Astyanax mexicanus: one gene and its partner. Each later gene encodes a partner of the first gene's protein in a complex. Links are inferred from orthologs where the notes say so. Each region holds a gene or a part of one and is shown in the gene's direction. Other genes may lie near its edges.

Region 1 (4,148 bases):
ATATTCTCTGAACTGCAGTGACACTGACATAGAGGAGTCATGTAAAGTCAGAAACATAAGCAACACAGACTTAAATGACTAATCACAAAAAGAATATTTTTTTCTGAAAAGATGTTATCCTGCTTTTGTTAGTATCCGTGTCTCTACTTTCTATAGCATTTTACCATATTTTGGAGCATAGCTGTGAGGACCTTCATACTCCTGCCCAAACCCTATACCACTGTGTTTTTACTGGACCCTTGACTTGGTATCTCAAAATAACGATTTGGTATCTCAAATAATAACTTGATAATGCAGAATAATTAAGTATCTCAAAATAATAATAAATAATAATAAATAATAAATCAAGCTAAATCAAGACTTTATATGTCAAAATAACGACTAAGTATCTCAAAAACGAGTTAGTATTCCAAAATAATTACCTAGTATCTCAAAAACGAGTTACTATTGTAAAAGTAATTGCTTCCTCAAAGTAACTGTTTAATATCTCAAAATATCGTTAATATTACAAAATACGACTTGGTATTTCTCTAACGACTTGATATGTCAAAATAATGACGTAGTATCTCAAAAACGAGTTAGTAGTTCAAAAATGACTACTTAGTATCTCAAAATACCGACTTAATAGCTCAAAATAATTAGTATCTTTAAAAAGTTAGTATTTCAAATAATTACTATCTCAAACTAACTGTTAATATCTCACAATAAATATTTTAAAATAATGACTTATTATTTCAAAATAACTGCTTGGTATCTCTAAATGAAGACTTGGTATGTAAAATAATGACTAACCACTTAGGTATGTCAAAATAATGAAATTATATAATATACTTAATAATGAAAGATATATGTTAAATTTTAGGTGACGAGAATGGCCATACATTTTTCTTTTGCCATGCCTCCCTAGCAATATTATTTCTGTATTGTGCAAACTGTTATGTGTATATTATTTAATATGTAATGTGTGTAAATATGCTTGGTATCGATAAATAAAAAACAGTATAATTAAATAACCGCTGTGGGGAACCGGATTAGCCGCTAAGCTAACACTAAAGTGTGGTTTTGTTAAGCGGTTGCTAGGAGACCACAGACGGGACAGTCCTACCAAACAGGCTAAAGCAGCCTAGTTTACTAACCTACCTCAGTCAGTCATTTAGCCCCGTTTAGCTGCATTTCAGCTAAAATGTCCGATAACGAGGGAGAACAGGGTCCTAAAAGCACGTTTTCTATCTATATAGCTGAGGGAGAGCAGCTGTTCAACAAAAGAGAATACACTAAAGCCATCCAGAGCTACTCTACGGTAAGTCCTCTCCGCTTTCCTTCTGTGGAAACAAATAACTTTTCTGTGTCCCGTACTGTGTCTTTCATATTTAACGTTACTAAATAAAGAAAAGGAAATGGATGCAGACGTATAGTTTGAATTGTTTAATATAACTACAGTTTGGTTTAAAGTACAGTAACGTTGTGTGTATGTGTGTTTTAGGCTCTGACATTACAGCCTGAGGACAAGAACTGCTTGGTTGCCAGATCTAAGTGTTATGTGAAATTGGGGGATTCTGAAAATGCACTGAAAGATGCTGAGGCTTCTCTCAAAGAGGATAAGAAATTTTTCAAGGTGCTATTTTCAGAAAGAAAAGTACACTCACACTACCGGTCAAAAGTTTTACAATAAAAAAAAAAAAAAACATTTTTCTGATTATGTTTGTTATCTTAGCTCTTCAGGTCCTGTCAATAACCAGAAATGGTACAAAACAAAAAACTTAATGAGAACCAGTTTCATCATAACATTTTTGATGGTCTTTACAACTGCACTTGAGGATACTTTCAAAGTTTCATTAAATATTTCAGATGGACTGACCTTCATTTCTTAAAGTAATTCTCTTCTTTAATTAGTTGAGTAGTTCTTGCCATACTATGTATTCAAGCATTATTTAAATAGAGCTATTCAATGTATACCAACTCTACCTCTTCACAACTTCACAAATAATGCTCTCAAACACATTAAGAGGCAAGACATTCAAGTAATTAACTCTTGACAAGTTCAGCACAGCTGTTAACTGAAAGCCATTCCAGGTGACTCTACCTCATAAAGCTGACTGAGAAAATCCAGCCAAGATGTGCAAAACTGTGTCTACCTAAGCAAGAAGTGCTTACTTTGAAAAATATAAAATATAAAACATGACTGTTTACTAAATATGTTTATCTTGGTAGTTTGGATGCTTTAGTATTAATCTACAATGCAGAAAAACACATCACTCAATATAGTTAAAAACGACAGTATATCAAATTCAAGGTCAAATTGGTAAAATGATTTCCAGATAAATTGCATGTAAATGTTTCACTAGTTAAATTAATTTGCATAGGTTTTCCTAATCTGGTTTAATTCATTTAGAGTTCTTCTAAACAAAAAACTTTAATTATATAAAACAGTATATAAAAGAATATTGCAGAATATTGTTGATATGATGAAAATAAAACACCTACATGTGATTTAAGAGTCATTGACCATCTTGGTTTTAATGTTGTCCTGAGCACATGGTTTTCTCGTCTTTCCAGGGTTTGTATCAGAAGGCAGAAGCTCTGTACACTAAGGGTGAATTTGAGTTTGCACTCATCTTTTACCACCGTGGTCATAAGCTGCGTCCAGAGCTGCAGGAGTTCAGGCTGGGCATACAGAAAGCTCAAGAGGCCATCAATAACTCTGTGGGCAGTGAGTACTTATAGACGGTTTTCTACAGTAATTCTCAGTGATGATGCACAGATAACACTGTTTCCTGTTACTGAAAACGACACAATGTGTCCAAATGTATATGCAAATGCACACACACACACACACACACACACAGCTTGTCTCAGTCTCTGTAAAGAAGTACTGCCAAAAGAAAAAAACGATTTTCTGCAGCAAAGAAAAGTGAACCGATTGGCGCCACACTCAAAACAAAACATACAACCGTTTTCTAAAATGATGGTGCCCCTCCATCCAGTACTTCAGGATGAGATGGGGGGTTAGGGAGGAAGTGGGATCATCAAACATCCTTACTAACCTTACTACTGCTCTTGTGGCCGAATGCAATCAAATCCTGGCAATTAAAGCTGAATAAATTATTTTTAATACCATTAATTTAAGAAGAAACTATATATGAGCATGTATTCCAATACTTTTGTCCATATAGTAAATGTGATACCTGCTTATAAATCCTGATATTTATGCCAATCATTAATTCATATAAATCTTCTAAAACAGAATACTTTTCTAATTTTTCAGGTCCCTCATCTGTGAAGCTAGAGAATACATCTGACCTCTCCCTGCAGAAAGCTGATGAGGCAAGTTCAAAACTATTTATCCTCTTCAGGCACTTCCAGAAGCTGTATTTTGGTGAAACTCATTATGAATTTCATTGTAAGATAATTTGGTTTCAGCTGTGAACCCTATTAGTGTACGGTCCTCACAGAGAGATGGTTTATATGCTAAAATAAATGACTAATTCATTACAGAATGTTATGTGGTTCATTATTCCATTTTACTTGTGTTTATTTGTTTGTGTGTTTTGTATTTTGGCTGAAAGCTGAAAAAGGTTCCACCAAAGCCTGTGAAGAAGGTGCAGCTGAAACAGCAGGCCCAGAAGACGGTCATGAGTGAGAGAACAGCAAGGCAGCTACTGGGAGAGCTTTACACTGACAAAGAGCACCTGGAGAAACTGCTCAGAGATGAAGGTGTGTGTGTGTATGCATGTGTATCGAGTTATCTGATTATACGTACAATCGTACTCTACGTTCCTATATCGGAGTAACAATTTCTCAGTGCGTGTAAACTCTTAATGGGTGGATTCCAGGATTGATTCTTTACAAGAAGGATGTCATCAACAATTTTGGCATACAGTGTAAAATAAGCTTTGTTTGGGTGTGAAAATGCTCAGATATCATTAAATATGCCTATTTATAATCCTGTAAGTCTTTAAAGTATGAAAGATGTGTTATTTACATATGTTTTGTTTATGTGACTTTTTTATATTCTCTCTTTAGATCTAATAAAAGGAAAGACACGCAATGGCGAGCGACTGCAGGATGTGATCCTGAACTGCATCTCATATCTGGACACACGGACTGAATTCTGGCATCAGCAGAAGCCCATCTACGCCCGGCAGCGA
Region 2 (3,600 bases), on another chromosome or scaffold:
CTAATGAGCATCCTAAATTATGTATTTGAGTTTAGTTAATTCAGAGTTATTGCTCAGTTGTTCTATGAATAAAATGTAGTTAGCATCTACCAGCATCTATCTAAATAAAAGACATGCTGTGATGTTGTGGTTTGAAATGTCTGACTGAGCTTTATTCCCGCAGTGGAGGATCTAGAGCGGAATGATGGATCTGCAGAGAGGCCGTACCACATGTCCCCGAACCTCCTCAGCACCCTGAAGAAACCCAACGACAAGGTCAAAACTGCCTGGACCACCGAGTGAGAGACAGAGAGGAAGAGAAAAGGGAAGAGGGACTTAGAATTTCATTGAGAAACAAGGTTTTAGTGCAAAACTGGATTAACATATTTCATCCAGTCAATTTACTATGAATTATGACCAGTCTGCTTTAAATAGTAAACAGGGTAGCAGAGATTGTTACTGAGTTTTACAGTTAGTGTTATTGTTACTGAATATTACTTAAGAAATAATACAAGAGAGGGAACGCTATCACTTGTTATATTGGCACTGCTTTGCCAATATTACAAGTTATAGCATGAACCTTGAGTGTATTATTGCGATTATACCATAGTTTCATTAACGCTGTATATTGAAAGATTTTGAATTAAAGAGGAAGAGAAAAATATGATATGTTTGGTTATAAAAACTCCACGAGTTAAAATAGTTCCATTGCTGCTCTGTTTGTAGCTGTGCTGTTTAGCTGGTAAGCCCTGCGTTGTTGCTAGGTTACCTGTATGTGGCAGAGTAATAAATGGAGAGCTTTGGTTACAGTGCATTACCAGCTGATAATGGAACTCATAGAACACCTCTCAGCCAATCACACTGGGTCACAGGGTAGAAACTAACTGTGGTATAATGAATTTTACTGTTACTAAATGTAGCTAAGTTATTTTTACTGAACGTTACTGAGTGTTACTGTTACTGAATACTACTGAGAATTATTGTTACTGAATGTTACTTAGTGTTTCTGTTGCTGATGTTTATCTGCATATTTCTAAGGTCTGATTGGTCTGATTCGACTGTATATTTGAATTGTGGCATTTATTTACTGGTTTGTTTACAGGTTGTGTACCTTTTGACAGGTGTTAAAATAATGATGGTGCAATAATGAATGAACTCCAATCTGAATTTAACTTGTAGCAGCCTATGTGCCTTGCTAATTGTATTGATACTTCATTTCTGTGCCTTGATAATGTATTGATCATCTATGTATTACTGATGATCCGTAGAGGATTGATCATTCACATGTGTATTTATAAGATATTTATAGTATGTTTGGTTTGTATAGTTTCTCATGTAAATGGTTGGAAACCACATGTCAGAACGTATATTTGCTGGAAGGAAAGTGGTGTGTATTGATGAACTAAGATTACTGCAAACACAAAGTCAGCACAGCAAAGTATGGGTGTTTAGTATTATGTTGTATGATACATATTTGTCCTTCAATAAATGTCTAATAAATGTTTGTCCTTAATGAATCGTGTGCGATTCCTGAAGCAAGACACTCATTAGCTTATTGGCTTTGTCAGGACAATGTGACTGTCTTTACAGAGTGCTCCGCCTCTCAGCGGAAGTGGGAGTTGCTAAGCAACCAGTGTATCGTAGGAGAGGTAAACAGAGAGAGCAGAGGGAGGAACTAGACTTCAACATAACAGCAGAACTTAATAAAACTGCTAAAAATGTCGGCGCTGTTCAGCTCAAACTCTATCAGAGCTCCAATCCATGACCAGATCAGCGAACTGCAGAGGAAAATACAGCTCCTGGGTGAGTTTAGCAAGCGGCACATGGAACAGCTGCTGGTGACTGAATGACAGGGGATGTGATAATCCAGAGTGTTTTCATACAGAGTTCTCCAATAATGTAAACTACCTTCCACTACCAGATCAGATATCTGGCTATCTGAGAGAGAACTCTTCAAAGAGCCCTTACTCTCGTAATACCTCTAACAAACGAACTACTTTTACTAATTCAATTTCATTCTTCCCCTCCTTCCTCCTCTGTCCCACTATTCCCTTTAATGTCTTTTAGGCCCTGTATAAAATGTTTTTTCTGTTGAACTTCTATTACTCTAGGTGCATAATTATTGTACGTCGCTCTGGACAAAGCGTCTGCCAAATGTAATGTAATGTAATGCGGAGCATCGCTAATGAGTTTTATAGTGATTGAGCTGTTGTTCTGTTCTCGACCGCCAGAGGGCGAAAGAAGCGCGTTTTTTGAAAGTTCCGAAAACGCCATAAAGAAGAACAAGGAGACCATCCTGCAGCTGCGCGAGGAGAACAGGAGACTCAACATGAGACTGGCACACGCGCTCAGAGTAACACACACACACACACACACACACACTCCACTACTGACAGATATTCCATATGAAGACACACTCTGTGCTGTGAAGGGAGCTTCCAGTTCAGGGCGAGGTATTGGACGCCCTTGTTTGCTATCAGGCAGAAGCAGCTGAGGGAAATAGCTTGTATACAGTAGTGCGGCTTTTATTAGTAGTGCATTTTTTACCAAAGGTTTTCATTTAGACACGTTTGGGCACAAAAAATTCTGACCTCAGATCAGCTGCTTGCACTTTCAAAACAGTGACGTGTCAACCAGTTTTGGGACAATTATTTATAAATCCTGTATTATGTATTTAATATTGCTGAGTGTTACTTAGATGATAGGTGGAGTGAGTAGGGAGCAGAATGTGATTGGGGAACAATATACCATACACACACACACACACATTATACACACTTTTAGTAATACACAACTCACACCTTAATTCTATGTAAACGGGTTTAAAATAATTGTGTTTACAGTGGGACCCTGTTTGGTGCTGTAGATCCACTTTTTGTCTTTGCAGAACCATCTAGAACAGATTCTACATCATATTAAAGACCATTTTAACCAGGCAAAGAAACATTTAAGCATTTAAATGGTCTTTCAGGTGTCAGGAATTTAATAAAGACCCATTTTCTTAACAGAGAAACACTTAAATAACCCTCTTTGTAAAAGTGTGTCATATAGGGACACTCACACTACACACTGATAATGGAGACTGAACCTTTGTACACTGAACACACAAACAGTAAGAAACATCCACTCACACAATGTATGAAATATTACACCTGTACACTCTGTTCCGTAACAAGTTACCTGTATGTGTCTCTGTCTTTATCCAGGGAGATGAGCAGGAAATTAAAGAGGTGTTTCAGAGCCGCTCAGAAAAAGCTGCTTTCCGGAACATGTCCGCAAAGGTCAGAACACACACACACACCTTTGATTTGTATTAAACATATCAATAAAAAACAACTAGAGCTTGGTCAGGATGTGTACAGTATTAGTCAGCTTTGATACAGCAACTAACAGACACTCTGTTCTGACCAAGATCATATTCCAGCCTCTGATGATGAGCAGCGTGATCCTGGACTCAAACACGTGATCCTCGGATAATAGTGACAGCCTTAGTCTAATCTACCCATAAAGATTAAAGAGCATTTACCCAAAATGTTTTGTATATTATTTCCTCTAAGCTCCTTTCACATAAACCAAAAACAGTCATAATTCATTTCTACACCAATCTCTCTTTATCTTTTT

Evidence for each region.
Region 2: odad4 (region 1) and odad3 share a complex: the UniProt entries of both Homo sapiens proteins name them as parts of the outer dynein arm-docking complex. The link is inferred for Astyanax mexicanus from reciprocal best matches to the Homo sapiens genes ODAD4 and ODAD3.

The regions. Positions count from the first base shown.
Region 1 is NC_064426.1:25,917,590-25,921,737, reverse strand, and holds the start of odad4 (outer dynein arm-docking complex subunit 4), read left to right. Parts: upstream 1-1,067; 5' UTR 1,068-1,183; coding exon 1,184-1,300; intron 1,301-1,483; coding exon 1,484-1,615; intron 1,616-2,556; coding exon 2,557-2,710; intron 2,711-3,265; coding exon 3,266-3,324; intron 3,325-3,566; coding exon 3,567-3,714; intron 3,715-4,023; coding exon 4,024-4,148. UniProt on the Homo sapiens protein: Component of the outer dynein arm-docking complex (ODA-DC) that mediates outer dynein arms (ODA) binding onto the doublet microtubule. Plays an essential role for the assembly of ODA-DC and for the docking of ODA in ciliary axoneme.
Region 2 is NC_064412.1:26,045,299-26,048,898, forward strand, and holds the start of odad3 (coiled-coil domain-containing protein 151), read left to right. Parts: upstream 1-758; 5' UTR 759-868; exon of another isoform or gene 869-1,492; intron 1,493-1,569; 5' UTR 1,570-1,697; coding exon 1,698-1,782; intron 1,783-2,210; coding exon 2,211-2,332; intron 2,333-3,185; coding exon 3,186-3,260; intron 3,261-3,600. UniProt on the Homo sapiens protein: Component of the outer dynein arm-docking complex (ODA-DC) that mediates outer dynein arms (ODA) binding onto the doublet microtubule. Involved in mediating assembly of both ODAs and their axonemal docking complex onto ciliary microtubules.